Linked DNA regions of Canis lupus familiaris. The protein of the gene in region 4 purifies or fractionates together with the protein of the main gene of each other region. This does not show direct contact. Links are inferred from orthologs where the notes say so. Each region holds a gene or a part of one and is shown on either strand. Other genes may lie near its edges.

Evidence for each region.
Region 1: the proteins of ATP6AP2 (region 4) and CCDC115 purify together in Homo sapiens (affinity purification with mass spectrometry; 3 studies listed by BioGRID and IntAct, counting the BioPlex papers as one, with this or other methods). This does not show direct contact. The link is inferred for Canis lupus familiaris from reciprocal best matches to the Homo sapiens genes ATP6AP2 and VMA22.
Region 2: the proteins of ATP6AP2 (region 4) and ATP6AP1 purify together in Homo sapiens (affinity purification with mass spectrometry; 5 studies listed by BioGRID and IntAct, counting the BioPlex papers as one, with this or other methods). This does not show direct contact. The link is inferred for Canis lupus familiaris from reciprocal best matches to the Homo sapiens genes ATP6AP2 and ATP6AP1.
Region 3: the proteins of ATP6AP2 (region 4) and ATP6V1A purify together in Homo sapiens (co-immunoprecipitation; 3 studies listed by BioGRID and IntAct, with this or other methods). This does not show direct contact. The link is inferred for Canis lupus familiaris from reciprocal best matches to the Homo sapiens genes ATP6AP2 and ATP6V1A.
Region 5: the proteins of ATP6AP2 (region 4) and ATP6V1F purify together in Homo sapiens (affinity purification with mass spectrometry; 3 studies listed by BioGRID and IntAct, counting the BioPlex papers as one, with this or other methods). This does not show direct contact. The link is inferred for Canis lupus familiaris from reciprocal best matches to the Homo sapiens genes ATP6AP2 and ATP6V1F.

What each region holds. Positions count from the first base shown.
Region 1 is NC_049246.1:19,093,873-19,099,851, reverse strand, and holds the start of CCDC115 (coiled-coil domain-containing protein 115), read right to left. Parts: upstream 3,857-5,979; 5' UTR 3,286-3,856; coding exon 3,175-3,285; intron 3,105-3,174; coding exon 3,001-3,104; intron 2,914-3,000; coding exon 2,831-2,913; intron 2,221-2,830; coding exon 2,074-2,220; intron 115-2,073; coding exon 2-114; 3' UTR 1-1. UniProt on the Homo sapiens protein: Accessory component of the proton-transporting vacuolar (V)-ATPase protein pump involved in intracellular iron homeostasis.
Region 2 is NC_049260.1:123,318,128-123,324,322, reverse strand, and holds the start of ATP6AP1 (V-type proton ATPase subunit S1), read right to left. Parts: upstream 3,479-6,195; 5' UTR 3,427-3,478; coding exon 3,284-3,426; intron 3,048-3,283; coding exon 2,921-3,047; intron 569-2,920; coding exon 494-568; intron 215-493; coding exon 21-214; intron 1-20. UniProt on the Homo sapiens protein: Accessory subunit of the proton-transporting vacuolar (V)-ATPase protein pump, which is required for luminal acidification of secretory vesicles.
Region 3 is NC_049254.1:18,714,831-18,720,251, reverse strand, and holds part of ATP6V1A (V-type proton ATPase catalytic subunit A), read right to left. Parts: intron 5,248-5,421; 5' UTR 5,238-5,247; coding exon 5,153-5,237; intron 2,461-5,152; coding exon 2,332-2,460; intron 1-2,331. UniProt on the Homo sapiens protein: Catalytic subunit of the V1 complex of vacuolar(H+)-ATPase (V-ATPase), a multisubunit enzyme composed of a peripheral complex (V1) that hydrolyzes ATP and a membrane integral complex (V0) that translocates protons.
Region 4 is NC_049260.1:35,212,610-35,217,786, forward strand, and holds the end of ATP6AP2 (renin receptor), read left to right. Parts: intron 1-2,766; exon of another isoform or gene 2,767-2,927; coding exon 2,928-3,122; 3' UTR 3,123-3,980; downstream 3,981-5,177. UniProt on the Homo sapiens protein: Multifunctional protein which functions as a renin, prorenin cellular receptor and is involved in the assembly of the lysosomal proton-transporting V-type ATPase (V-ATPase) and the acidification of the endo-lysosomal system.
Region 5 is NC_049235.1:7,644,526-7,650,444, forward strand, and holds ATP6V1F (V-type proton ATPase subunit F), read right to left. Parts: upstream 3,395-5,919; 5' UTR 3,265-3,394; coding exon 3,107-3,264; intron 1,111-3,106; coding exon 909-1,110; 3' UTR 653-908; downstream 1-652. Other genes in the region: protein ATP6V1FNB, read right to left, coding at 1-96. UniProt on the Homo sapiens protein: Subunit of the V1 complex of vacuolar(H+)-ATPase (V-ATPase), a multisubunit enzyme composed of a peripheral complex (V1) that hydrolyzes ATP and a membrane integral complex (V0) that translocates protons.

The DNA.
Region 1 (5,979 bases), on a different chromosome or scaffold from region 4:
GTCAGGCAGATTCTGGCTCCAGATGCTTGAGTTTCTCCTGGAGCCCCCGGAGCTGGCTTCGACCCCAGTCGATGCGGATCTGAAGGCTGGCCATGTCTGCAGCCAGCTGCAGGCCTAGAAGAAGAGATAAGACTGTCACCATGGTATCTTCAATGTAACACATGACTCAGGGGGCTCTGAACATTTCCAGGGACTGGAAAGCCTCCAGAACTCTCTGGCCTCCACAGTATTCCTAAAATATTCCAGGAAGAGCCTTGCACTGGCTACTTCAGAATTTCACTAGACCCCACACCCTCACCTCCTTCAGATCTTTACAAAAATGTCACCTCTGCAATAGACTTCCTTTACTCCCTTATATTACCCACCAGGAACTAACACTGATCATATTACTCACAGATCATAACACTGCTGCATGCCCTCATTTCCTTCCTTCATTTTAATAGTCCTTCATTTTTCCTGCCTTCTCTTTCTACATGTTTTCTCTGCCCTCAAGAGTGCTCCACATTCTGGATCCCCATCTAGGTGGCTTTTGCCTGATGCTTTTTTTTTTTTTTTTTTAAGATTTATTTATTTATTTGAGACAGAGAGAGAGAGAGAGAGAGACAGAGGAAGAAGCAGGCTCCATGCAGGAAGCCCCATGCGGGACTCGATCCCAGGTCTCCGGGACCACGCCCTGGACTGAAGGCGGCACCAAACCGCTGAGCCATGGGGTCTACCCTGATGCTTCTGCTATTAAGTCATTTGGGCACTCCATGCCCAATCCACTTGCCCATCCAGTCTTCAGCCTACCTGCCTGCCAAGAGGGCTGGCCACACATCTGCTCACCTCCTTCACTTTCTCGTCTTGGATCTCTCACCCTTTGAGTGTTGCTCCTGTCTCTGCTACTTCTCAGTTTCCTCCAGTGGTTTCTCCCCTTCTTCCTCCTACCTTCTGTCCACACTCTGAGGCCCTCTGCTAATCTCTGCTTTAATGCTATATCTGTGCCAGCAACTTGGAAATTTAAACACCAATGTTATGCAGTGGGCTCCCCAAATCTCTCTTTCCAGCCCAAGTCTCTTCCAAACTTGGATGCATGTGTCCTGACACCCGATCAGAGTCTCCACCACACAGCCTAGGAACATACTCTTGCCCAACTCCTGACTTACCCTTGGCTGTAGCTGTGCAGCCCTCTCACACCAGGTGAGAGCAGCTTCACTCTCCCAGGTGTTCCTGCTGGAATCTGTGGGCTTATCCTTCACTCTTCTCCTTCCCTTACTCTCAAAATGATCTGTCAGCAAATCTTGTTGCTTGTACTCTCAAAACATGCAGGTTCTTATCAGTGACCCTCTCCTTCACTGCCTCTACCTGCATTTCAAGCTTGGCTGGTCTCTGGCACCTGCTTAGTCCCTCTGTTCTTGCCAGTCTTCTATCACTCTGTGGGTCCAACTGTGCCTCCCTCTCTTCAAAGCAATCCGTGACTCCCCAAAGTCTTCATCAGGACCTACACCTAAAATCACCTGGGCCCAGCCCCTCTGATCTCACTCCTTCCATTCCTTGATACATAAGTGGCAGTCCAGCCCACTTGGCCTCCTCTCTGCCATCCTGAACATGATTTCATCTCAAAGCTTTTGCCCTGGCTAGTCCCTCTGCCTATAGCACGGATCCTCCAGATCACCTCCATCTCTTCAGAGAGGCCTTTCCAGACTACCCTCCATAAAATAGTTACCCTCCCCACTCTTGTCTCACTCCATCCACCATACCCTATCTTATTTTTTTCATAACAATTCTTACTACCTGGTATTATATAAAGAACCTATTTAGTTATTTGCATGTTCTCGCTCTCCCTTCAATCTATGAGGGCTGTTTATTGTTTCCTGCTGTATCCCCAGCACCTAGCATGAGCCTGGAACATTGCCAAAAGCCAGTAAATGCTTTTTTGAAAACAAAACAAAACAAAACAAAACAAAAAAAAAGCCCAGCAGCTGTGCAACAAAAGCCTGCTAAGGAGAAACCTAGAAAACCTTTTGCAGATTAACCCCAGCCAGGCATGGCATCAGTGCTCAAGTGCTTTCTGTAGATAGAGCATCCACTCACCCTCTCGGAAGCTGGCTTGGGCATGCCGCAGACTGTGAGGAACCAGGATTCCAAACCAATTCAGAGGGTCCCGGGGGGCTGGGGAGGACTCCGGCTCTGGGGTTTTGGTGAGACCCTTGCGCCTGCGCAAAGCTGGAGAAAGACAGACTGGAGGTTGGGGTACATTACTTGTACCTTGTCTCCTCTGTGACAATGTTGAATTTGATTTGAGCTCATGATCCTGACAAACACTGATGGCTGGAAAAATGCCTCCAACCATTTATGTTCCAGAGAACATCTTACCACAAAGAACAACCCTTCCCTTTGTGATTCAGATGAGGCCCTGACCACTCTTTCCCATGACTCTCAAGATCAGCAGATGACCCCTTGTTTAGCTGTGACAGTGCCAACACACTGACTTTCCCCATTTTGCCTGAACATGCTGAAAGGTAGGACAGATCCTCTAACTCCCCATTCGTCTCATAAGTGATTGAAATTATAAATTTCTCCTCTGAAACCAGTTAGACATATAAACATTTTCTGTTCAACTGAATGAAACTTCCCCTGATTGCAAAACTATCCCAACTGTAACGGACCTCAGCTATAACTTGTCTATTTCACCCTACAGAAGAAAACAGCCTGGCGAGACACTGTGATCCTCCAATCCAGGCCGCCCTCTCTATCGCAACACCCTTAATAAACTCACCTCCTCTATTCTCCTGTACATTTTGTTTTCCACACTGGGAGAGCGCCCTGACGGGAAGAAAGAGGGACTCACCTGCCTCACGGGGTCCCAGCTCCTCTGGAGTCTGGGCGCTGGCTCTCATCACCCAGAACTTCTGGAGTCCGTCCTGGGCCTCGCTGAAGAACAAGAAGGCAGTATGGATATTTGGAGGCCCCAGCCTGGACCCTGCCCACCCACCGGCTCCAGCAAGCATGGCTCCTCACCTGGTGTAGACGCAGACCTGTGGCTCCATGTGGGAGGCATACTGCAGAGGACCTACAGACTTGGCGCCCATGGCATAGCGAGCTTTGGAGAGCGAGAGCCAGCCCTGGGGTAAGAGAGGGTGGTGAGACTCGGTTTACCCTCGCACGCCCGCCCACCCCTCTCCAAGGTCCCACCTCCTCCACCCGGGCGTTCAGCGCCGCCCGCTTCGCCTCCAGTTCTTCCAGGTCCCGGAGCAGTTGCAGAAGCAGCGAGTCCAGCTCCGAGCGGAGGTCCGGCGCAGCCATGGGCCCAGCGGACAGAGGCCTGGAACCGGCGTCCTCACAGGTCGCCCAATCGCCGCTCGTCCCACGGCCCGGCAACCAATAGACCCACCTGCAGGGGCGTGCCCAGCCGAGGGGGGGCGGGGGCGAGTTAGCCACCGTGTAGAGGCCACCAGGTCCCCGCCTTTAAAGGCAAGCGCTCTCAGAACAGCCCTAGAGAATGGACTAGTCCCTCCGGAGCGGGACAGCCAGGCAAACAGTCGGCTAGAGCTTCGGGTGGTTCCGAGGTGCTTCTGGAAGAGGCCGCACGAGAATAAGGCTAGAGCTGTGGTGATGGAAGACGCACAGCCGTATGGCCGCCATCAAGTCACTTTTGATTTTAAGGGAGACGAGGCTTTAATTCCAGGAGCCGGTAGGCGAACCTCCAGACAACCGCTGTGCTGCTTTTCCAGTTGCTGGATCATTTCGAACAACGAATTCTGATTACTTTAGCGGTTCATAATCCTAACATTGAGCATCGCGCACAACAGTGACAAGTCATGAGACACGCAGCGACAGCTGACTCACTGCTCTCCTAGGCGACGTGATAACGTCTTGATGCCCTTATTGGCTGTTGCAGGGAGCATGCGCCTCCGGACTGGCCAATCGCCTTGCGACTACCAACCCACGCTCCGCCATCTTAACGTCGGGCACTGCTACGGGAGCCAAGCGTGGTGAAGCGTCGAGCGACCTTGTTGGTTGAGGGCAGACGCGAGGGTGGCGTGGCTCCTGCGGCCGCGGCAGAGTCTCCCGGACCCACGTGGAAGCCGAGCTCGGGATGGTAGGGGGGATGCTGGAGGCTGGGGGTGGTTCCTGGGCCGGGGGCGCGTGGGCGTGCGGCGAGGACGAGGCTGAGCGGCCCCGCTGTCCCGCAGCTGCGCCGCGAGGCCCGCCTGCGCCGCGAGTACCTGTACCGCAGGGCCCAGGAGGAGTCGCAGCGAGCGGCCCAGGAGCGGAAGGACAAGGTTCGGCGCGCGCTGCAAGGTACGCGGCCCGGTGGCTTCACCTGCGCGGGCGGCCGGCCGGCCTCGGCACCTGCCGGAGCCCCGCGGAGTGACAGGCCGGGCGGGCGGGACGCGGGTGCCGGCGTTTCTTAGCGTTAGTGTGGCTGCGCAGCGCTTCGGGTACTTCCTGGCCGTTTCCTTGCCTGTTGGGTCCTCCTGTTGGTTTGCAGACGTTCCTTCCGAGATGCAATAAATCACGCATCATCTATGCTGCAGTATCCAGATTTTACAGTTTTCCCATTTTGTTTACACTGTGTGTTTGGTTCATCCCAAATTTTAAGTTTTTACGTCATCCTGTAGATATTCACCCCCGTACCGTCTTGCGCTGTTTTTCTTTTTGCCACCTTCTTGGGTACAAGAAGTACAATATCTTACCGCCTTTTGGCGTTAGTATGATTCCATTGCATTTTAAAGTGTTAAACCGTAGGGAACTTAGTTTTATTCGAGTTGTGAATTAGGATCTACCTTTGCAATATTTTCTCCATTTTCTTGTTATACTGATAAAGAGGGTTACGCATGCCTGAATGGAAATGTTGTATTTATCCCTGTCTCTTGCCTCTTGTGTGGGCGGAGCTTGTTTCCTATCTGGATGGTACATCAGCTTAATACCTTTGATTATTTTAAATTCACTTTGATTTTCTGTGTTTTAGACATACAAAGTACATGTGGTATATGTTTATATGTTTAGATGAAGCGTTGTTAGACACCTGTGACCTATCTGCCCACATTAGAAATAAAAAATGCTTAATATATTGAAATTCAGGAGTATTTTCCCCAACTCAGAATAGCCACAGTATTGAATACTGTGAATATTTCATTGAATGAAATAAACCATTTCATTGCTTTTCTTTGTGCTTATGTCGTACTTGTTTGTATTCCTAAATGAAATGGGTCGGTTTTTAGTTTTAAACTTACTTATTAAGTTGTATGTATTCTTTCCCAGCTTTAGGTTTTCATTTAGCATTGCTTTTAACACCCAATGAGTATGGTGGGGGCTCCCATTTCCCTGTGCTTGGTGCTGACCTTATTTTTAGTTTGGGGTAGTTAGAAACAGCATTGCTGCTATGAACCTTCTCTTCCATGTGCAAGAATTTCTCCGGGGCGTATTGGAAAGAAAAGCTGAGTCCAAGGGCATGTTCATATTCAGCTCTGTAGGCATACCCACCGCAGCCAGCCCTTCTTTTACCAAGTCCAGCTGTAGTTCACAGAGGAAACCTCTCACCCGGAGCATTAAGATGAGCAGTTTTGTTGTCAGAAGGTTTCAGGGTTTCTGGTCCACCCTCATACAGAAAGAGCCCTCTGTGTGTATTCTTTTAAAAATTAGCTTGTTAATTTTTTTCTAATTACAAAAACAATTATATACTTGCAATTAAATATTTTAGAAAGTCCTCAAACAATGAGACTCGGGAACCATAGAAAATGAGGTCTCCTGTAACCATTGTTGACAGGTTGGCATATAGACCAAAATAGTTTTGCTTTTCTCTTCCCCCTGCCAAAAATATGTATCACTTTTCTGCACAGAGAGGAGTGAAAGGGTACTTTTTAATTAAGTCTGTAAGTTTTTATAAGCCACAGTGTTGTATAAACTGAGGGCTTGGTGGGTGCATGTGTCTAACTCAGCCCTTCTATGTTCCCCTTGCAGAGAACCGCCTGATTCCCACCGAGTTACGCAGGG
Region 2 (6,195 bases), about 88 Mb from region 4:
GCTCCGAAGCTGGGGCATACCTGGACGTGTAGGGCAGGCGGATAAGCAGCAAGGCCGGGAGGCTGGCATTGAGTTTCAGCTCCCGCAGGGTGGCCAGGTCCACGTGCAGGGGGCTGGCCCCGAGCTTCTCCTGCAGGTAAGTGGTCAGAGTGCTGACCGCATACCAGTCGACAGCAGGAAGCACCAGAGAGGAAGGTGCCAGGTCCAGGGCATTCTGGGGGCCAGGGAGAGACAGAAGGATAGGTTAGCAAGGGACCAGCAGGCCTGAGCCAGCCCCCAAACCTCTCGGGCAAGGCACAGGCACACCCACACTCACACCAGGGTCTTATTCAGAGTCAGAAAGAAAACACCCCACACTCCTGGTCCCTGACATCTCAGGCCTTTCTACCCTCTAAAGCCAGCACCTCTGGTTCCTAATGGCACAGTATTTATTGAATGGAGGTAGAGAGTGCAGGAGAGCCCCCATGGCCCTTGGCTGGGAGAGGACTCTTACCTCCAGGTTAGAAAAGGCGCTATCCTGCTTGTTTCCAAACACGCCGCCATATGCTGTGAAGTCCTCAATGCTCAGCTAGTAGGGAAGCAGAGAAGGTGCCTCAGAAGGTTGGGCCAGGACAGGGGGCAGACACCTTCCCTGCGCATGGGCAGGGACAGCCAAATCTCATTTGCAATCAGACACAGTCTAGTCAAAAGTGTGGACAAAGGCACGTTTGGGGGTAGCGAGTGGAGGAATGGGAGGTTCTCTTTTTCTCCTTCCTGGTAGGGTGAGAAAACATGGAAGGTGGTCATGGGGTTGGAAGGCAATCTGCAGGCAGCTGACTCGTAACCTCAAGATTCAGAGTCAGCCACCTGCCTTCAGATGAGGAACTGGCTGGGGAAGAGGGAAGCTGGGGGAGGGGCTGGGGGACAGCGAGGAACATTTTCGGCAGCTCCCCCACTGCCACCGCCGCCCCATCCCCAGGGCGGAAGTCAGAGAAAAGGAGAACCTGCGTGCCAGCTGCAACGCCTAGCACTGCCTATGTCCAACCTGGACAAGACCCTTTTTCAAAGAGAACAAGAAGTTCCTTCCCTGCCTGGTTTTGGTGGAAGGGGAGAGAGGAAGATGGTAGAATCTGCTGGAAAGAGCACTGAAGTCCTTGGAGCTCTCCGGACCACAGTAACCACGATCCCATCCCTTTTCCTCTGCAACCTAGACGTGTCCTTCAACTCCTGCCCTCCACCCGACTCCCAGCTTCCTCTGGCTTTTCCCAGTTAGGCCCAGAAGCGATCTTAATCCGTTTCTCTAACCTGATTCTGTTTAGTATACACACTTGCCCAGCCTCCTCTGCCATCTAGACAGGCATCCTAACCCTGTTTGGCTCTCATTCTGAAAGCCCAGGAACCACCACCGTGTCCTCTCAGGACTCCTTGCTCAAAATTGCCCAAAGCTTCCTGCCACATTTAGAACTGCAACCAGCCTTTCCCCGGTTGTCATCCCTTGGCTACCTGGCTACCTGGCTCTCCTCTACTACACTCCAGCCACACCAGCTCTTTCATGGGCTCACCAAGCGCACTCCTTGCCCAGGGCCTTTGCACCTACTGTTCCCTCTGCCAGGAGCACTCTTCCACCCATACCCACATGGCTGTGTGCCTCCCTCCATTTAGGTATCTGCTCAGATAGCCCTCCTCAGTGAGCCCGTCTGATCACCCTTATCTTAAACAGTATCGCCAATCATTCTGTTCCCATGGCCTGCTTCTTTCTCTGAAAACTACAGCAGCATTGCCATTATATCATACACCAACTTAGCATGTACCTGTTGCCCTCCCGAGGCTGCCAGCTTCCTCCGGGAGGGGCTTGGGTTACTCTGCTCGCTGCTATGTCCCCAACACTTGCTACCTGGGACACTACAGGCAGTCCATATTTGGCCAATGAATGAATGGATGGATCCCATAAGGGGACCCCGGAAAGGTGTTTTACGAGGCTTATAAGAATCGCTCCTCACAGTCTTCTGATACAGGTGGTATCTTCATTGTACAGAGGAGGAAACAGGCATTCACAGATTATCTCCCACATCCAAAGGGTGGTAAGTAGTAGAACCAGAACTGAGTTCCCGTCTAACTACATTATTTACCACCTCCTGGAAGGAGTGGAGGCCAGCATGACCACCATGACGTGCCCAGAGAGCAACTGAGCAAGACCACAGGAGAATGAGCCACACAGGCCACCCCTGAGGAAGGAATAAGCAGAGGCTCAATAAGCTCCCAAACACCAATTCTACACTGCCCTAGAATCTTCTCATGGTCCATATGCCTGCTTTGGAGGCAGAGACCTGTATGGCAGGGAAAACTGTGTGCCTGAGCACAAAGTGGGGGGTGTCTGACAGACTCCGGCTGGAACCAACCAAGTGTGGTGCGCATAAGCCACAGATCATTCGTCAATGGTTGCACCTCTACCAGCCTTAGTTCCCTTGGCAGTGAATCCAAGATAATGACATCAGCTTAGCACCGTGCATGTGAAGCACTCAATTAAGTGATCATTTTTCAATTATCTCTACTATCGTCATCAAAGTTAGGATCACAGCTCTGTCACCCATTAGCTGAGTGACCCTAGGCAAGTCATTTGCCGTCCTTGGACCCGAGTCTTCTCATCTGTAAAGGGGGATGATAATCCCCCCCACATAGAGTAGCTCGGATAAGTGCTTGGTACTGGGTAGGCATCTGGCCTCTCACCCGGGGCTTCAACCGAATCAAGTCAGTGCCATTTCAAGGCCCTCACCGTTCCCACGGAACCTTCTCCTGCAGGCCTTCCCAAGAGAGGAGCCACACTTCCCTACGGTTGGGACAAGGTCACTGAAGCCTCCCCTGGGGAATGGGCTCGGTGTCCTGGGGGGAGGGGGGCCTGACTTCTTCCGATGACAGGGAGAGAGGGCTGGGGCGGGCGCACCTTGTCCTGCAGGAACAGCAGCACATTCCGGGGGCCCAGCTCCAGGGCGGGGTCTAAGTAGGTAGAGAGCTGCATGTCGCTGGTGATGTGGCCCTCGTGGGTGCTGGCCGCAGGACCCCACAAGTCCCTGGCAGGGCACAGAAGAGGTGCTGTCAAGTGGGGGGTGCAGGCTTGCGACCATCGTGACGCGCGGGGCCCCGAGCTCTGACCCGGCTGGCTCCCCACGGGCCGCCGAGGAAGGGACAGTCCGCCTCTGCCCCCCTCGGCCGCCGCTCGCTGAGGACAGCCCCGGAGCCGGGCGAGGGCGCCTCAGCCGCCGCGGCGCGCAGCGCAGCCTGCCCCGGCCCGGCCCGCCACGCTCACCGGTCACTCGACCACAGCACCAGCGGCACCTGCTGCTCCGCCGCCGCCACCGCCACCAGCAACAGCGGCAGCCACCGCATCTGTCTGAGCGCTGGGGCCCGGCGCGTCCCCGCCAGCACCCGAGCCGCAGCCATCGCCGCCATCACAGCCTCGGCCTCCACTGCCTCGGCCGCCGCTGCCGCCGCAAATCAGGTGACCATCGCCTCCGCCCGAGCTCCGCCCCGCGCCCCCATTGGCTCGGGCGCAGGCCGGCTCGCCAGGCCCGCCGGTGATTGGACAAGGCTCACGCCACTCAGGGCCGCTCCTTCGCACGGATTGGCTGTACGTGCCTCCGGCGGGCACGCTCCGTGCGGGAAAGGCGGCAGGGCGGGGCTCGGCCGGCTCCCACCGCGGGCTCCCAGCGGGAGCGGGGCGGGGCCGGGGCGGGGCCGGGGCGGGGCCGGGGCGGCTCGGCTCGCCGGGTCCCCGCCCTCCAGGCTTCGCGTCTCCCGGCTTTAATCCTCCTTTCGCTTAAAATGGCAGGAGTGGCTTCTTTTTCCCAGAGGTGGGCCCCGCCGAGACAGAGGAGGCGGCCGGAGGGCCCGGGCTAACTTCCAGAGGAAGGTCCTGCACTGAAAATGGGCGGGGAGGAGGAGGAGCGTCGGGGGGAGGGGAGGAGCCAGGGAGAAGCGCGGTTTCAAGGGCACCAAGATGAGCAATGTCAGTGTCACTTGCTGCCAAGAAGCACGTAGGATGAGGACAGAAAACCGTTTCTTGGACTTGGCAACACCTGGAGGCCTTGGCAGGAGCGATGTCAATGGGGGGAAGGAGACGTGGTTGTAGATCGTCCTTTCTCGACGTTTGCTTTAAAGAGAGGAAAGAGGCCATGGGACAGCTAGAGTCAAGGTGGGAGACACCGCATCAAACCCATTGGAAGACTTCCTTTTCCTGGGTCATTTTTGATTTCTCAGGTTGGTGACTATTAGAGATCAACAGTCGAAACACTGGAAACTATAATTAAATTTTGAGCTCCCGTTAAGGGTATGCGCACTGATTTCGGAGGAACTGAAGTGATGCCCGCAACTCAGTCTGAAATGCCCCAAAAATAAAATAGAGCGAAGTGGGACTACAGACATAGGTGTGTGATGAAGCAACCATAGTAAACTGCTAATGGCAGAACCTAGGGGGTGGATCTATGGGTGGGCACTGTAGGGTTGTTTTTTGACCTTCCTATAGGTACTGGATATAAGGTTGACCCCCTAAATTCATGATCCATCCAGAAATGTGGTCTTATTTGGAAATAGGGTCTTTCCAGATGTGATCCAGATACGGTCATGCTGGATTCAGGTGAGCCCTAAACCCCATGACTAGTGTCCTTATAAGAAGAGGAAAATTTGAACACAGGGAAAAAGGCCACTGTACAGTAGAGCTAGAGTGAGGAACCCCAGGACCCGCCAGAAGCCGAAGAGGCAGGAAACATTCCTTCCTAGGGGCTTTCATTCAGAGAGAGTGGGCACATGCCTGTACCTTGATTTTGGACTTCTAGCCTCCAGAACTGAGAGAAGAGATTTCTGTTGTTTTAAGCCTGCTGATTTGTGGGGCGTGCCTGGGTGGCTCAGTCGGTTAGCATCTGCCTTTGGCCCAGGTCATGATCCCAGGGTCCTGGGATCGAGCCCGCATCAGGCTTCCTACTCCACTGAGGGGAGCCTGCTTCTCCTTCTCCCTCTGCCTGCCGCACCACCTGCTTGTGTGCTTTCTCTCTCTCTCTCTCTCTCTCTCAAATAAATATTTTTTTTAAAAAAAGCCTGTAGTTTTGTGGGAATCTGTTATAGCAGCCCTAATAAACTAATACGCTGTATGTTTGACATTTTTCATAATAAAAATATAGAGAGAAGAAAGTTTGATAATGATCCTGGAATCCCAGGATCAAGTCCCACATCAGGCTCCCTACGTGGAGCCTGTTTCTCCCTCTGCCTGTGTCTCTGCCTCTCTCTCTCTGTGTGTGTGTCTCATGAAGAAATAGAATCTAAAAAATAGAAGAAACTAAGAGTAGTTTATCCTGACAGTTTAAAAAATGTAGAATAATTATAAAATACAAAACTCACGAATTTCAAGAAGAATTAAACATGTAAGAATTTGAAATCCATTTCTCTTTCAGGGAGAAATATTCAACCGAGACATGGACTTCTAATTTTGAATTTCTGGCCCAAATTTGCCACAACAACACACACAAAATAAATTACCCACACCTCACCAAGCAATTCTAAAAACTGGCATTATGTGAGTAAATCAGACTATTTCTCTGGCATGCCCAATGAATCAAAAGGAAAGCAGAGAACAAATGATGGAAGGCCAAGAAGGGACAGGCTCAGGGTAGTGCTTCAATCTAAACCAAAGAAGCTGCAGACACTCAAAAAGCAACGTCAGCACAGAGTCTTCCATATATACTCTGGTTCATAAACCATCTATTTGAACTTGGGGCATTTCTGTTCTCTAAGTATAGCATATTCTATACTTCTAAGAAAGAAAGACAGCAAGAAAAATAAAATTCAATTATTTAGGTGAGGTACTTGGATTTATATATAGGGGCTGACAAAATGATACTTGGCAAAGTGTATATTTATAGGTAACTCAAAAAAGAGGCATTAAGGGATCCCTGGGTGGCGCAGCGGTTTAGCGCCTGCCTTTGGCCCAGGGCGCGATCCTGGAGACCCGGGATCGAATCCCACGTCAGGCTCCCGGTGTATGGAGCCTGCTTCTCCCTCTGCCTATGTCTCTGCCTCTCTCGCTCTCTCTGTGTGTGACTATCATAAATAAATAAAAATTTAAAAAAAAAAAAGAGGCATTAACATGTTCATATAATCAGTCATAAACTTTAGCCCAATCACTCTTAAGTACTTTTCATTCTACGACTAAGTGTTAATTATAGACAA
Region 3 (5,421 bases), on a different chromosome or scaffold from region 4:
CTTGAATAATGAAAGGGTCTATTAACTGAAGCTACTGGTTCATGTGACGTCTGACAACATGTCTAATATTCCTGTGTTAACATCAAAAATTTTAAATATCCTGGGATATCACATGAGTTTGGGGCAGCTGCCCAGGGTGCCTTCTGCACATTTTGGGAATCACAGAGCTAAAAACAGAAGCAATACATTGTTAATATATTATTTCATCTCTACTTAATACTCTGTTTCAACTACACTATTGAGGAATATCAGTCCCCAACAGGGGCAAAGTTTAAAGAATTTTACAGTGAATTCTCTCATATTGACCAGTTAGATCCTATCATTAACATTTTCTGATACTTTATCACATACCTATCCATCTTCATAATACACATTTTTAAGTAAAATGTTTTACTTTTAAGTAAAAAAAGCAAGGTGTAGAATAGTGCATATAATATGCTATCTTTTGGGAATGAAGAGAAGAAAAATAACATTAATATTAGTTAACAAACTAGAAAGATATATAATAAAAGGAATTAGGGATCCCTGGGTGGCGCAGCGGTTTACCGCCTGCCTTTGGCCTGGGGCACGATCTTGGAGACCCGGGATCGAATCCCACGTCAGGCTCCCGGTGCATGGAGCCTGCTTCTCCCTCTGCCTATGTCTCTGCCTCTCTCTCTCTCTCTCTCTCTGTGACTATCATAAATAAATAAAAATTAAAAAAAAAAAGGAATTAATAAAAGTGGCTGTATGCATATGTGTTTTGAAAATTGGCCAGATATAAGATGACAATGGTGGAGAGGTTTTTCACTGTATACAAGTTCATTTGTTTTTATTTTAAGTCTTCAAATCACATAGAAGATTGAAAGATAAACCTAACATTAAAAAACATCCATTAAAAAATCCTTCTAATTAGTTATGATTTTATAGCTACAGACTTCTAATTTTATTTAAATTTTCAGATGATTTTACTTTGATTTAGCACCCTAGTACTCACACAGAGAAGTTACCTGAAAAAAATGGATTTTAATATGGCAAAAAAGTTGTATAAAGTAAATCTTAATTAATGAGCCAAATAACTAATGCTGCCCGTATATTTATAGCAGCATTATTTACAATAGCCAAGATATGTAAGTAACCTAAGTGTCCACTGATACATTAATGGATAAAGACAATGTGGCATGTGCATGTGCGTAAAGAATATTCTGGCCGTTATGTGTATACAGATAGAATATACTGTGTTTTCAATATATACATGTTATATTACACAATAGAGTATGACCCAGCCATTAAAAAAAAGGATGAAATCTTGCCATTTGTGACAACATGGGTGGACCTAGAAGGTCCATATTAAGTCAGATCGAGAAAAACAAATACCATGTAATTTCACTTATGTGTGTAATCTGGAAAACAAATGAACAGACAAACAAGGAAACAAATTCATTAAATATAAAGAACAATCTAGTGGTTACCAGAGGGGAGAAGGTTGGGTAGATGGGCAAAACAGGTGAAGGAGATTAAGAGGTACAAACTTTCAGTTATAAAATAAATTAGTCATGGGGATAAAAAGGTACAGCATGGGGAATATAGTCATTAATACTGTAATAACTTTGATAACAGAGGATAACTACACTTATGGTAAGCATTTCATAAAGTATATAATTGTCAAATCCCTATGTTATATACCTGAAACTAACATAATATTGTATGTCAACAATACTTCAATAAAAATTTTAAAAAAATAAGACTTAATGCTGATCTTGAGAATAACTTAAGTAAAACACAAAAGTGAAGTTAAAAAAAAGTGGTTCCTCTTCATAAAATCTAATACATTATCTCTTTTTCATTGAAAACTTAAAATAAATACTATGCTTAAAACAAAAGTATGATAAACAAGTAGTAAAGATTCCCTAGTGCTAAAGCTATAATGTACCATGCCATACATACAACATTATTTTATTAGGATAGAGTAGTGACTCATTTATTTATGAATTTTCTATTTAAAATGGAAATCATGATCAGAGAATTTTAACCCTTCAAACCGATGTCGTCATTCTGTTTATGCTTTACAATATGTGTTCACTCTCAAGAAAATTGTAATTGGTTTCCCCTAAAGTTTGGGAACTACCAAAATATTAAGAGCAATACGAGTTCAGAAGATAATACTAATTTCTTAAAAAATGATCATAAGTTCCTAGTACCTTTCCTTAATAAATTCTTATATAAATCAGGTTTCTTTATGACACCATTTCATGCTTTTGATACTATTGGTTGTTGCTGTTTCCACCTTTGCCATAAATCCTTAAATTCTGACTTGCAGAAAGTGGCAAAAAATTGAACCAAAAAGGATACAAGTTTCTTCATACACTTGGATAGTTGCCATGTCACCCTCCAATCGGATAATCTCTCCAACCAACTCACTGTGGCCCACTCTCACCAGCTCATACATGGCTGCACCGGCCATGTCACAGGCTGTAACCACTGAAAAGAACAAATGAGTTTTTAGTAACTTAAGACTCCGTGAATAGAGATAATTAAGATATCCAATTAATCCAATAATACATCTTTCTCATATATTCTTAAGAAAAAATGTATGAAACATATATCGTTTTATAAGAATATAAATTTTAGCATCTGATACAGAGGTAAACAAAATAAATTTGTTAGGCTAAAGTTTATTCATTTACATAACACACATGAAAATTATTTTCAAAAAGTCTTAAGTTCTATACAGTAAATTCTTACCTAGCAGCATTGAGGCACATTTTGATCAACTCAAGTTGCTATACTACATGGAATGATGGGATTTAGGAACAACATAAAACATTTTTAAACTAAAATTGGAACAAGAGCTTTAGCTAGTAGCATGGCAGAATCAGTTTGCTGTGTTGTTACCATTCCTTTGAGAAATAATATTTAAAATTACATCTTTACTTTGACTTCTAACACTTCATATTGGTGGTTCTTAAAGCTCTTCTGGGACAAGAACCCCTTTGATAAACTAATGACAGCTCTACCTAGAAAAACTCACATATGCATCTACAAAAGTTTTTTTCAGAGGCACCTTGTCTAGCTCAATCAGTAGAGCATGCAACTCCTGATCTCAGGGTTGTGAGATCAAGCCCCAAGTTGGGTGTAGAGATTACCTAAAAAATAAAACCTTAAAATTTTTTTTTCATAGACCTTTTAGCCTTTCATAAGGATGTTTATAATCAGTCATCACCACTGGGTGAAGTCCTGATTAAGAATTCTTATTTCTTATAAATTCTGAACCAGAATTTTTACTTACTATTTTATATTTTAGATCATGTTGTCTAGTAAGTAAAAGTTATTTTTCTGGTAGGCAGGGAAAGTTGTACATTTTCAGATATGTGTAGGAATAACTCTATTACCTAATACATAGTTCTAATAAATGTATCAGAAGGCTGAATATTAAAAATATTCAAGTAGAAACCATTAAAGTATTAATATTCAATTAACGCGTTAGGACAATGAAGATTTGTTAATTTCATAAATATTTACCTCTACACCTACCATATAAGAATAATTAAGATGCACAGAAATGTCAGAGATGACTAAAATTTTATTTTACTATTTTTTAAGAGGGGGGATGGGCCAGAGGGAGAGGGAGAGAGAATCTCAAGCAGGCTCCCCACCACAGGGAGACTGACTCAGGGCTCAATCTCACAACCCTGAGATCATGACCTGAGCCCAAATCAAGAGTTCAACGCTCATGACTGAGCCTCCCAGATGTCTCTAAAATTTTAAATCATATTTCACAGGGCTGCCTTGGTGGCTCAGTCGGTTAAATGTCTGCCTTTAGCTCAGGTCATGATCCCAGGATCCTGGGACTGACTCCTGCATCCGGCTCTCTGCTCAGTGGAGGGCCTACTTCCTCCCTCTCCCTCTGCCTGCTGCTCTGCCTACTTATGTGTTTTCTCTGTTAAATAAATAAATAAAATCTTTTATTTTTTATTTTATTTTTTTGTATTTTTTTATTGGAGTTCGATTTGCCAACATATAGTGTAACACCCAGTGCTCATCCCAAATAAAATCTTTTTAAAAACCATATTTCAGAAGCTTAAAAATATGCCACTTCTCTATCATTTTATATTAAATACTTAAGAATAATAAGTTCTAGGAGTTTACTACAAGTTTCAAAGAAACATTTTTACCTAAACTCTTTTGATGGTATTCTTTGTCTTTTCCCTAAAAATTCTTGAGTGTAGCCTGTGTTTCCTAAAGATGCTTCAATCAAGGGGAAAATTGTTTCTCAAATGGCAAAAAAGATTGAAAACAGTGAGATGCATTTTTGCCAATAAGTTCAAGCTCAAACACCAAGTTCTAAGCTTCAGTAGAAGCTTCTTAGGGAGAAAATAAACACTGTGACTGACTGACTTTATTTGCATAAACACTGAAAAAGGGTCATCACCACTACTGTGAATAGAACAAAAAAAGACTATAGAATGAGGTTTATAAAAAGACATAAGGAAAAATATCCATGGCCTAAGGATTATAAATCAATGAGCAGATTTTACCTATGGAAAACTATAAATCATATTTTACAGTTAGATTAAAATGAATACTAGAATGAGATTTATCATTTAAAATGCAGTACTGCAAGTTTTGGCAGGATAAACAAAGTTTTTAACTGCTTTCTATTATTCTCACATCATAAAACTTCTTACCCACATATAACTAGTTATGAGATATCTAAAATAAGTGTTCAGAAGGATTTATATATGCAAAGAGCCAAGAATGATATTGTTGAGAAATGCTCTGAAAAAAATTATTTAAGGGCAAACTACATAAACATATATTTACTGAATGACTATTATCTGCAAGATATTATATACTAAAAGCTATGAACTTTATATAGTCTTTTAAGCTTAGATTTCACACAAAAATTAAGACATCTAAAACTGAACACCAATTATACATTTACATAATAAACAGGGTATTACAAATTAGTGCCCAATAATTATTAAGGTAATGAATGCCAGAGAAGTTCTTATGATGGAGGTATTACCTCAATAACAACTAAGAAATCTTTTAGGGACAAACAGAACTTATATGGGTGAACAGATACCTGTGTATTTTACCTAAAATGCCTTGAAAAGACATTCATTTAAGTTAAGAGTCTTTACTATCGAGATTATTACATATTACTTACCAGGTCCTGAGACCCCATGCACATAACCAAATGTGCTTTCTTTATCTTCATCAAGTATTTTGGGTAGCTTGGAGAAATCCATCATGTTAATTTACCTATGGTTAAAAAAAATTATAGTTACAAACTCTAAAGCAAGAAAACTGACATAAGTAGTCAATGCCCATCATTGGTGTATTCTTGAGTTATCATTTCCTCAGAGTAAAATATAAAATTCTTAAAATTTGGTTAAAAGTGCCCTATTCCTGGAGGGTCTACAGTCATTAAAATTC
Region 4 (5,177 bases):
CTCTGCCTCTCTCTCTCTCTCTCTCTGTGTGACTATCATAAATAAATAAAAATTAAAAAAAAAAAAAGTATGGTAGGCTGGACAGTCCAAAAAATATTCCCACTACAGAGCATCTAGGAATACCGATAAAATATAAACATCTTTTTGAGTGTATAGTTTAGCTCTCAAGACATACATTCTTCAGGAGCAAATAAAGAAGAGGAACTCAAACTGGTAGGCAGGCTACCCTGGGAACATTTCTAGTTGGGTTACCAGGAGAGTGGTAGTAAGGCCCTGGCTCCCTCAGAAGGGCAGGGTTTGAAATGGACACTTCTATATAAAACTGGGGGAGCCAAGGCAGACTAAGAAACCGGTATCTGCCCACTGGCAGAGGAAGACAAAATGGCAGGTTGGGCTCCTCCATGTAGTTGGGGAATGTTGTTGGGGATGGGAATGTCTCTTAGGGAATTCTTTTTTTCTCTCTTTTTTTTAAGATTTAATTTATTTATTCATGAGCGACACACAGAGAGAGAGAGGCAGAGGGAGAAGCAGGCTCCATGCAGGGAGTCCAACGTGGGACTCGATCCTGGGTCTCCAGGATCACGCCCCGGGCTGCAGGCGGTGCTAAACCTCTGGGCCACCGGGGCTGCCCTCTTAGGGAATTCTTAACCACAAGTCCACCTTCATGTGGGTTTGTGGCTCAAATTTATATTTACTGCAAGTTCTAGGAAGCCCCAGGCCAAGAAATTCACACAAACCCTGGTCTCAAGATGGTAAGACCTGTGGTGCCCAGCAGGAGTAAATGTAAAACCTCTGGTAGGACATTCCCTCCACACGAGCCACAGTGGAGCGGGTGCCCCCAAATGTGAACTCAGAACACCATGAGGCAGGGGGAGCCAGTTTCCTGTGAGTGCAAGGTAACTACTAACGTGTCAATTAGACCACCAAAAACTTCTGTAGAATATGGATATAGGCTATAAAACAATTTAAACTGATTAAAGAAATAGGAGTCAAGAAAAAGAATAAGATACTTTTTAAATTTAAAAGATTTTATTAGAACACAAGCAGGAGGAGTGGGGGAGGGAAAAGCAGAAGCAGACTCCCCCTGCTGAGCAGGGAGCCCCATGCAGGGCTCAGTCCCAGGACCCTGAGATCATGACCCTAGCCAAAGGCAGACGCTTCACCTACTGAACCACCCAGGCGCCCCTCAACATACTTTAATGGCAGATGTGAATGTAACTGGAGCCTTCCAGTACTAGATTCTTTCACCACTGTCCCCACCAGGCCTGCTAATTTTATAGGAGGTGACTCTGGAGAGTTTGAAGAAGGTGTCCATGTTTTGGGAGTTTGGCAAGGCAGTTTTGCAGAGGTGAATTACTTTGTCTACTCTGAGGTGTTAGGTGGAATTTATAATGGATAAATGGAGTTTATTAGGAAATGAGCTTATTGGGAAAGTAGTTTCTAAAATTATTGTCTATGTGGGGAGGGGCCAGAATCAGGTGGCAGTCACTGGATTTTCTTTACCTACAAGGTAGTGCATTAACATCTTACACACATAATCTGAAGTCTACAGTATCTAGCAGACAAAAGCACTCAGAGCCAGGAGGCTTGTACCCAGCACCCCTGGGAGCACTGTTCTGCCCCGTTCTCCTGTGTCTGGTGTCTGCCCCTCAGCTCTGTGTAGATGATCTCCCCAGTCCCCAGGAGACAAGGCCCTGGGCTTAAGGTTCTCTGTAGGGTACTGGAAACGTTCTACAGTTAGGTTGTGGCACCAGCCGTGCAGCCCTGGGAATATCCTAAGGTGCAGGGAGTTGTGCACAGGAAGAGAGAACCTGTTTACCCCCAAAAAGAAAGAGGTTTCCAAGGGTGAAATCCTTTAGTGTTTGCCTCCTGCTCTGAGCTTCCCACACATGGGAATGCCCAGCTCCTCTCTCCCACTGAGATCACGATCTTGCTTTAGTCTGAGGGAGAGTGTCAAGAGTTTAAGGAAAGGTTCAAGTGCCCACAACATGCCAGGTGCTGGGGTCTGGGGCTGCTTTCTCTTCTCTGTCCTTTTAAGACAAGCCTGATCCTATTGCTTACTTCCTGCCTGAAACCTCGCCCACAGGCTCAAGGCCACATTGCCCATACCTCCCCTGCCTCTAGCCACTCGTCCTGCTGCTTTCCTCCTTGTTCTGTTCTCCAGCCAGGATGAACGAAGCTTCCCCAACAATGCCTCTGCGCACACCTGGAATCGACTCCACCCCCACCAGGGCCTGGCAGGATGAAGTTGTGGCTGAATGAACTATTTGTTTTCCTCTTTAAAATTAAAAATTTTAAGTGGAGCACACATAAGCATATAGCATGTGGGGAAGGGAACACAGTACTTGTTCCTCTGAACCTCCCGGTCCTGTCCCTGTACCGTCCCCATCCCCAGGTAACTGCTGTCCTGATACATTAGTCATGCCTGTGATTTCTTTACAGCTTAACCACGGAATGGATTTATCCTTAAACACTAGTGTTTGGTTTGCCTGCATTTGAATTATATGTGGACGGAACCCTGCTGTGGTTTTCAGAGTCACACAGGCTGTAGGTCAGGCCTCACTGCCACGGCTTCCGTTGTGTGGACCTGCCACATTCTCCGTGCGCTAAGTGGACATCCCTGTGCATGTGTCTCAGTACACAGAAGGTTGCCCTAGGGTATGGACTTGCTGGATTACATGATATGCATACTTTCGACAATAGTGAGGTCACCACACTTTCTGAGGCAGTTGGACTGGTTTATGCTTCCACTGACTGTGTGCTTACCTTTTCCGGGGAGGCTCCCCTTCCTGGCTCCTCCTAGTAGAAGCATGTCTTAATGCCGCCTAGGAATAAATGTTTGATAAATGAATCAGAGCTACCAAATGGGGATAATTTCCTATCTTAAAATTCTTCCCTCTTGATTTGCTTTCTTTTCTTTCTCGTAGAAGAACCCATCAAGCCCCTATAACCTCGCATATAAGTATAACCTTGAGTATCCGGTGGTTTTCAACATGGTACTTTGGATAATGATCGCCTTGGCCTTGGCTGTGATTATCACCTCTTACAATATCTGGAACATGGATCCTGGATATGACAGCATTATATATAGGATGACAAACCAGAAGATTCGAATGGATTGAACTTTCCTTACGCCAAACTTAAAAAAGAGGTTTGGAAATTGGCTGTTCTGTTAAATCTTCTAGTGTAAAGTAGATGGTATACTTTAAATTTATAAAAAAGAAATTTTGTTTTCCGTGTGCCTGTAACGTTCTTTTAGAGTGAATTATAGTATTGATGTGAATTGATTTGTGTGGTATAGATTCCATGATATGCTCAAATATGATATAACCATTTAATTTCATTCCATTTAACATTTGGAAATGTGCACTGAAATAAATGTAAAACATTTAGAATAGCTTGTGTTATTTATGTTGGGGGAAAATGCACTGAATTTATTAGACAAACTTAGGAGCGCTTAACTTCCTTACACAGGACAGGTGAAAATGACATTTGGGCTGTTCTATACTATGAACCATTTGTAAATGTCTTACCCTTGATGTAAATATCTCAAACAAGATAGAACGTTTTTAAACTTCAAGTAGCCCTAAACAGGAGATTGAGAACTGCATCTGATTCACAGAGGGTAGCTGGCTTTTAACCTCTTCTGAACGTTTGATGATCTAAATCGTAGGGTGCATATTAAAAATACTATGTTGATCTAAAAAGAAACTGGAAAAAAACAACTGGAGTTATAGATACCTGTCATTAGATACCCAAAAGCCAGTATTTGGGGGACATCTATAAAATGGGGCTTGACTATAAAATCTTTATTTTAATAACTCTTCCCCCTGTGTAAGTTACTGTTAATGGTTTGTGGTACGTCATTCTCTAGAATATTAAGTGGAAGTAGATGCTCCGGAAGTAGATGCTCCCTACTTTTCATGTGGAAGTGGACCAATGTCTATAAAGAGTGACAAATAAAGTTAATAATGATTCCAGATTTGTGTCATTTCAATACTAAATTTATTTTATATTATAAAATCCTAACAAAGCAGGTTGTATTTACTCAGAATTGGCTGTTACACAAACGGTTTCATGTCTCTTTAACATTTGTTTATTCTCGCTGCCTCCTGAGATTCAGTTTCAAGACAAGACATTTTAATTACCATTCTTATTGAATTTATACAGAATATCTGGTGAATTCACACTAGACTTTAAGTAGGAAAAGCCCAAATTTCCCTGTAGTATTTAAAAGAGGAGTAATTGATCAAAATAGAAAGGACTATCTAAGGTAAAGGCTTAAAGGTTATAGTTTTATTTCTTAAAAGACTTAATAGAATTTTAAATTTCATGATCATGTAGCAAAATCAGTCAGTTGTGCTGTCCTGCCCCTGGGAACTCTACTTGGGCTCAGCAGGAGCTGTTTCCATGCCCCTTCTTTGGGAAGATCATCACATCCTTTTTAAGTAACACTGAGGGTGGCAGGTTTGAAAAGATGGAGTCAAGCTAGTTGCATTTTCTACCACTTAGTGGAAGATACCTTTAACAATTACAGTGTTAAGTGTCCACAGAAGAAGGTTTGATTTTCTTTGTCTCCTCTAACTATAAATGGCCAAGCTGGTATCACGTTCCCTGAGAAGAGAGTTCCAAAATCACTGAAGTGTTCTCCACCTCTACCTCCCTGGTAAAGTTATCGGGGTGAGGGTGTTTTCAACTGCCTGTTCCCAAAACGCTAACCCCCAGAGAACTCAACAGGGCCTGTCTTTGGGGAGCCAGAAATCTATAAGGCTGAGGAATAGTTAAAATCTGTGTTTCTTTCACAAATTTCTTATATAAACATTGCCAGAGAAGACTGTGATTACATAGGAAGTAAACCAATGCCTTTGTAATTTAAAACTGATGAGATGAAGTTCGAGGGGAGAAAAGAATTACATGACAGCACTGCTCCTCATAGTGTAAATGGCATCAGCACCCTTCTATCTGTTAGGCAGAAAGCAGTTAATTAAAATAAATGTTCTGCCAAGATTATTATACCTGTTGCTGATGATTTGCTTTTAAGTCTAATTTTGTTCAGGAACATAAATCAGTGTGGAGATTTGTATAAGAGGCAGGAAAGCTAGACTCATGACAGACTATTCTACTGACAAGCTGAAAAAACCCAATCAGTTTATATCAAATTGGTAGAATAATCCAGG
Region 5 (5,919 bases), on a different chromosome or scaffold from region 4:
CTTATGATGCCATTCACAGCGCAACATCTTCTCCCTCAGATATTCCTCCTTCCAGAAGTTCTGCCGCAGCGTATCCATGCTGAGTTGGCGCGACATGGTAGCAAGGGAAGGAGCGGTACCAGGGTGGCTGCAGCTGAGGGATAAGCGATAGCAAGTAGAGTCCTTCCCACAGCAGGTGGCTGCCACAGACAGTCACCTGGCAACCAAGCCTCACCTCACACAGGGCCAGGGTTCTACTTGCCATGCCTTTAGCAGACCTCACATGCCTTGATCCAGAGGCAACCTCAGGCCAAGGCCCACCGGCTAAGGCCTTGATCTCCAAGCCTCTTGCAGGACCCAGGCTCAGTCTAGTATCACAGGCTTCTGGGTTTCCTGTGTTTCTGCTTCCGTTCCTTGGGGTCAAGTCCCTCCCCAGCCTGAGAGAATGAATTGGGGGAGCCTAGGACCTAGGCACAAGCCTCCTCCCATCCCTCCCACCAGAGCTGGTCACCGTTGATTCCAAGGATCCATCCTTGAGTTATGATCTCTTGGCACAATCTTCCTGGTCCAGCTTTTCCATGCCTATATCTTTGGCAGAACCCTTCCCAACCCTGCCAATCTAATCCCCCCAACCACCTCATCCATGCACGTCCTTTCTAGTAGCCAGTCTCAATTTGGAGAGAAACGGGAATGTTGCTTTAATTTAACATGAACAGAGACACTGTGTAACAGCACAGGGAAGATGTAGTGGAGAGAAGATACTCAGGCTTCCTGTTCCCTAACCAGCCTTGACTTTAATGGCAAAGCCCCAGCAATCTGGAAGCACCTCACCTAGCCTCTCAGTGGGTTGGGAAGGGGCAGGGGGCTGGGAAATCAGAGACGGGCTGAAGGCAAGCCTGGGGAAAGGCTGCATGGCTATGGGGAGGGCTCTAGCGCAGGTCCTCGGCCGTGAACATGCCCCTGGCCCTGCGCAGGATGGAGTCCTTGGTGGCATCATAGGGGTGCTCCTTGGACGGAATCTCTAGAACGGCTGGAATGGAGCGCTGGTGGGCGTCGAGCGCATGCCGCACCATCTCTGCGATGTATTGGTTGATGAGGATAATGCCGATGTCATCCCGGTTTAGAAACTGCCTGTTGGGAGAAATGAGAAGAGATTCTCACTCTGAGGTGCTGAGGCTGGGCTGCAGAGGAGAAGGGGCTTGACCCAGAGACTGCAGAGCACAAAGGCAAAAGTTGCTAGCTACATTCTCTTTCTAACCAGGATCACCTTCATTTAAAAATCTAAGGGCCCAGGACACCTGGGTGGCTCAGCGGTTTAGTGCCTGCCTGCCTTCAGCCCAGGCGTGATCCTGGAGTCCTGGGATCGAGTCCCCCATCGGGCTCCCGCATGGAGCCTGCTTCTCTCTTTCTCTGCCTGTGTCTCTGCCTCTGTGTGTGTGTGTGTGTGTGTGTGTGTGTGTGTCTCATAAGTGAATAAAATCTTAAAAGAAAAAAAAAATCTAAGGGCCCTCTAGCTGTCTTCTGCCTCCCCTGCCTGAAAGGCTCCCAAGTGAACTGGTGCTGAAGACTAGTGCACATGCTGGTGCATTCTTCTGTATGCTTCATTTGTGTAAAAAAAAAAAAAAAGAGAGAGAGAGAGGATAAGAATGTCTGTCCCTTTGTGTGTACATAAAGAAAAAGCAGAAAAGTAAATAAGCAATTAATTGCTCACAGGGGTGGAGGAGGGAGGTAACGAAGTGGAAAAAGAGGAGGGTGGGAGTGAGGGGTGGGAGTGAGACTTGTCCGTGTATACCTTTTAAATATTAATTTACAAGCTACATGAATAACTTTTAAAGGAAAGCTTTTTTTTTTAAAGAGGGCTGATGAGACCATTAAAGGTCTATGCTGAAGACGTTGGGGAATGGATCATAGGGGAAGTTTCGCATGAGTCAAGAATACAACACAGGAGGAGGAAAATCACACTTTCCCCAGACAGAGAACCTACCACTGGGATCTCCCTTCCTTATGACCACCCACACGTTAGTTAAGTAAAATATTAAAAACTATTTTAACTGAGCGCTTGCTCTGTGCCAGGCACTAGGGCAGGTTAGACTTGATGATCTCTGGGTCCCTTTGGATGGAAACATGAAAAATTCCTGGAGTAAAACCTACCCTCCTCCCAAGACAACTTGGGTCACTTTACCAGAATGCCTAGAGATCAGGCCGGTTCAGGGCCAATCATACCCCCGGCAGCAGGAACCAGTCTCAGCCCGCAGCTCAGGACTGGACTGTGTAGGGGAAACAAGTGAGAGTAGTTTGTCCCTGAGATTGGGTAACAGCCTCCTTCAGGATGGGGCGGGAAAACAAAGGGGGCTAGCATTCTCAATTCAAGTCACCAGGACACCTCCTGGTTTAAGGGACATGCCTGCATTCATACTATGAAGCTATCGCTCTTGACCCAGGGTAAGAAATCAGGAACTTCAAATGCAAGGTCTTAGCAGAAAGTAGCAGGATATAGTCCTAATACTCTGCCTGCGGTGCTCAGGACAATAGGAAATTCTAAGAGTTGAGGGAACTGCACAAGCAGTGTGAACCTGGCTTAAGAGAGTTAGGTCTGGGTTCAAATCCCCCCTCTCTCTCTTCCAAAGGATGTGACCTCTCTGAGCTTTAGTTTTCCTACTTGCAAATGGGAATAATAGCCTCTACTTTACAAGGCAGTTGTGAGCCTCTAAGGGACATAACAATACAAGAAAGCCCGACCCCACTGCCTAGGTATTCGATAAGTGTGTGGGTCGCTTAGGGTCGAGCGCTAACAAGGCGGGGAGCCTGCTCTACGGGGCGAACAGGGGCGGAGCTGAGATAGGACCCTGGGGCAGATTGGGGCCGAGGGGCGGCGCCCATCTCCAGATCTTTTCCCCTTTCCTGACACAGAGTCATGTGAGGGATGAGCTCGTGAACCTGACATAGCTCAGGTTCCCCCATGCCCCAAAAGAGAACTTGGAGCATAGAGGCCTCCTCCGGAAGGGCGACTGGACCGACTTCCTTGACCCCAGACATCGGGGTCTGGAAGCCCGGCGCCGACCCCGCTGACCCCCGTGGCTCCCACCCGAGGCAGAGGGTCCCATTCAGGCCTCGCGGGCTACCGTACCGGAAAGTGTCTTCGATCTCATTGATGGTTGTATCCTTCTCCACCACCAGGAAATTGGGGTGGCGGTTCTTGTTAAGCTCCCCTATGCCGCCCAGCAGGAAGCCAGTCACGGTGTCTTCGTCTCCGATCACCGCAATTAGCTTCCCCCTACCCGCCATTCTCGCAGGCAGGTAGAGCTCCGCGGCGACGGCCCTTAGACGACGAAGCCCCTCCCCCGCAGCGCACCGCCTTTTCGGCCGCGCCTCCGCCCTTTACACATGCGCAGTTCACCACTCCGCCTTCCGGGACATGCGCATCAAGAGTAAAACGTCTTAATCTGAATACGCCTGCGCAATAATGAGGGGCCCCGAACCTGGGGACTACGATTCCCAGAAGTGCGCGCGGCACCACAGGTTCACGCAAGCGCGTTCCATCGGTCGTTCAATAAACCCGATGCGCCCACTGCTGATAGATACCGAGCCCCCAGAAGAGGAGACGCGGTTTCTGTCCTTGAAGGCAAGGTCCGGGTCTGTATCGTGTATTTAACTATGGCACACAGTTAACAACTAGTACGTATTTGTTGAGTATATAAAATATTGGACAAGTTAATGGTGACACTGACTAGTGAGGTAGGGATTCAAGTGAACAGGCAATTAATTACAGAGCAGTGTGGTAATTGCTAAAATGTGAGCCGTACGTGGAAGCATCCACTGAAGGGATAACCAACCCACTGGGGGGACGGTGTGCGCAAAGAAGATCCCCCGAAGGATTTAGGAGATAGAAGTAAGGACAAGAGGGTGTTACACCCCGGGCAGGAGGAACAGCATATGCAAAGGCTTAGTGACATAGCATAAGTCCCCTCAAGCAAAGTTAAAGAATCTGGAACAAATTATTCTGAGGACAAATTATCCTGAAGTCTTTGGAAAATGATATTGTGAGATACATGTTTTAGAGATAAGCGCTGTCACGGTGCTGTGTGCAGAGGCAAGACTGCAGAAGGAGGGATCCCTGGGCGGCTCAGCGGTTTAGTGCTGCCTTCGGCCCAGGGTGTGATCCTGGAGTCCTGGGATCGAGTCCCACGTCAGGCTCCCTGCATGGAGCCTGCTTGCCCCTCTGCCTGTGTCTCTGCCTCTCTGTGTGTCTTTCATGAATAAATAAATAAAATCTTAAAAAAAAAAAAGACTGCAGAAGGATACCGTTTTGGTAAGAGATAATGGTGGTCAGAACTCAGGTTGTGGGAATGGGAATGTGGAGAAGGAGATGGAGTCAAGAGATATTTAGGGACAGAATGGACAAAACTGGTATTCAGATTGAATGTTTGGGAAGTAAGGTAGAGACCTAGCTGACTCCCAGGTTTCTGGCCATTGCAACTAGGTGGATAGCACTAACACGTCTGAGTGAGCTAGCCGTATTTCACCTAGTGTGAAATATGGACTGAAAGGTCCACCCTTTCCTCCTCTATTTTTAGCAAACAGGCATACTGGTGTTCAGCATATGGTTTGTGAGTTTAGAGTGCTTGAGACATCCAGATGGTCTCGTCTAGTGGGTATTTGTATGAGACGTTTGGGATTTGGGCACACCTGGTTTGAATCTTGGCCCAAAAGTCATACTTAGAGGTATGATTTTGGATTTATCATCAAAATTCTCAAGGCTTCAAGTTCTTCAGATAGTAGTATCCCTACCCACTTGATAGGGCTGTAAGGTTTAAGGGAGATAGAGTCCATAAATGCTCAATACCTAGGGCCATTCTACAGTTGTGGAAGAGCAGCTGGGCTGGACATCTATGGACACACAGATGGAAAGCAGATGATGCTGAGGAGGTGGCCAGCAAGCCATCCAGGAAAGCGCTCACACCTAGAGTGAGTGGGGAGGGAGGGCAGAGAATGAAGACGGGTGCGTGTAGAAGCACCTGGTTTAGTGCCTGGCACAGAACTAGCCCATAATGCTCACAAGTGGTTGGGTACTTAAGAGAATGGATCTTGCCTTCAGTGATTTTATCAGGTGAAGAGCTGGGCACATTTATACACTCATTCATTCAACCAGTGTTTATCAAATGTGGCCATGAGAAGGCTGAAGATCCATGATTGATAAGACATGATTTCTGTCTGCAAGGAGCTCAATGAAGGATGGGGAGGAGGGCAAACATAAGAGAGGCCCTGGAGAGAGGTCTTAAGGGGGCAGGATTCCAAGCAAGGAGGGGGAAAGGGAAGAAGAAATTTAAAGAAGAGTGAGGAGGCAGATAGGCTACTGAGTAAACCAGGTGAGGAGAGTGGTCTTCTCTGACCTACCCACCAATATGTGCTGAAATGTCCAGGAGCAGGTCTACAGTTGGCGGGGGAGGGGGGTGTCAATTTACTGAAATCCTTTTTGGCCCTGCTGTGTCTACTGAATTATCCATTTACTCGCTTGTCACAGCTGTCTATATTAGACCTTCCAGGGTCAGGGAGCTACAAAGTCACAGATCAGTGTAGTAATGCAAAGATGTGCCCTGGGGAAGTTTCAGAGCTGGGGGCAGGGGTAGATCAAGGGGGCCAGGAAGAAGAGGAGGGTGGAAAGGCAAAGCATGGGTGCCCAGGAATCTCAGAGCTGTAAAGAGGGGTCGAAATGGAGGGTGTGGTGGGGAGTAGGCACACTGACTCAGGACTTCTTGTGTCAGCAGGTGGGGGAAGATGGTGTGCGAACTTAGAGGCCTTGTTAAGAGGAGTAGACATTAGCCTGGAATAGGAGGGAGCTGCAGAGGGGACCGGACACAGAGAGGGCCAGATTCCTTGAATGGGAGCCTGTCAGGCTGCAGTGTGGAAGGCGGGTTTGAGACGTGGCTCAGGCCAGGGAGG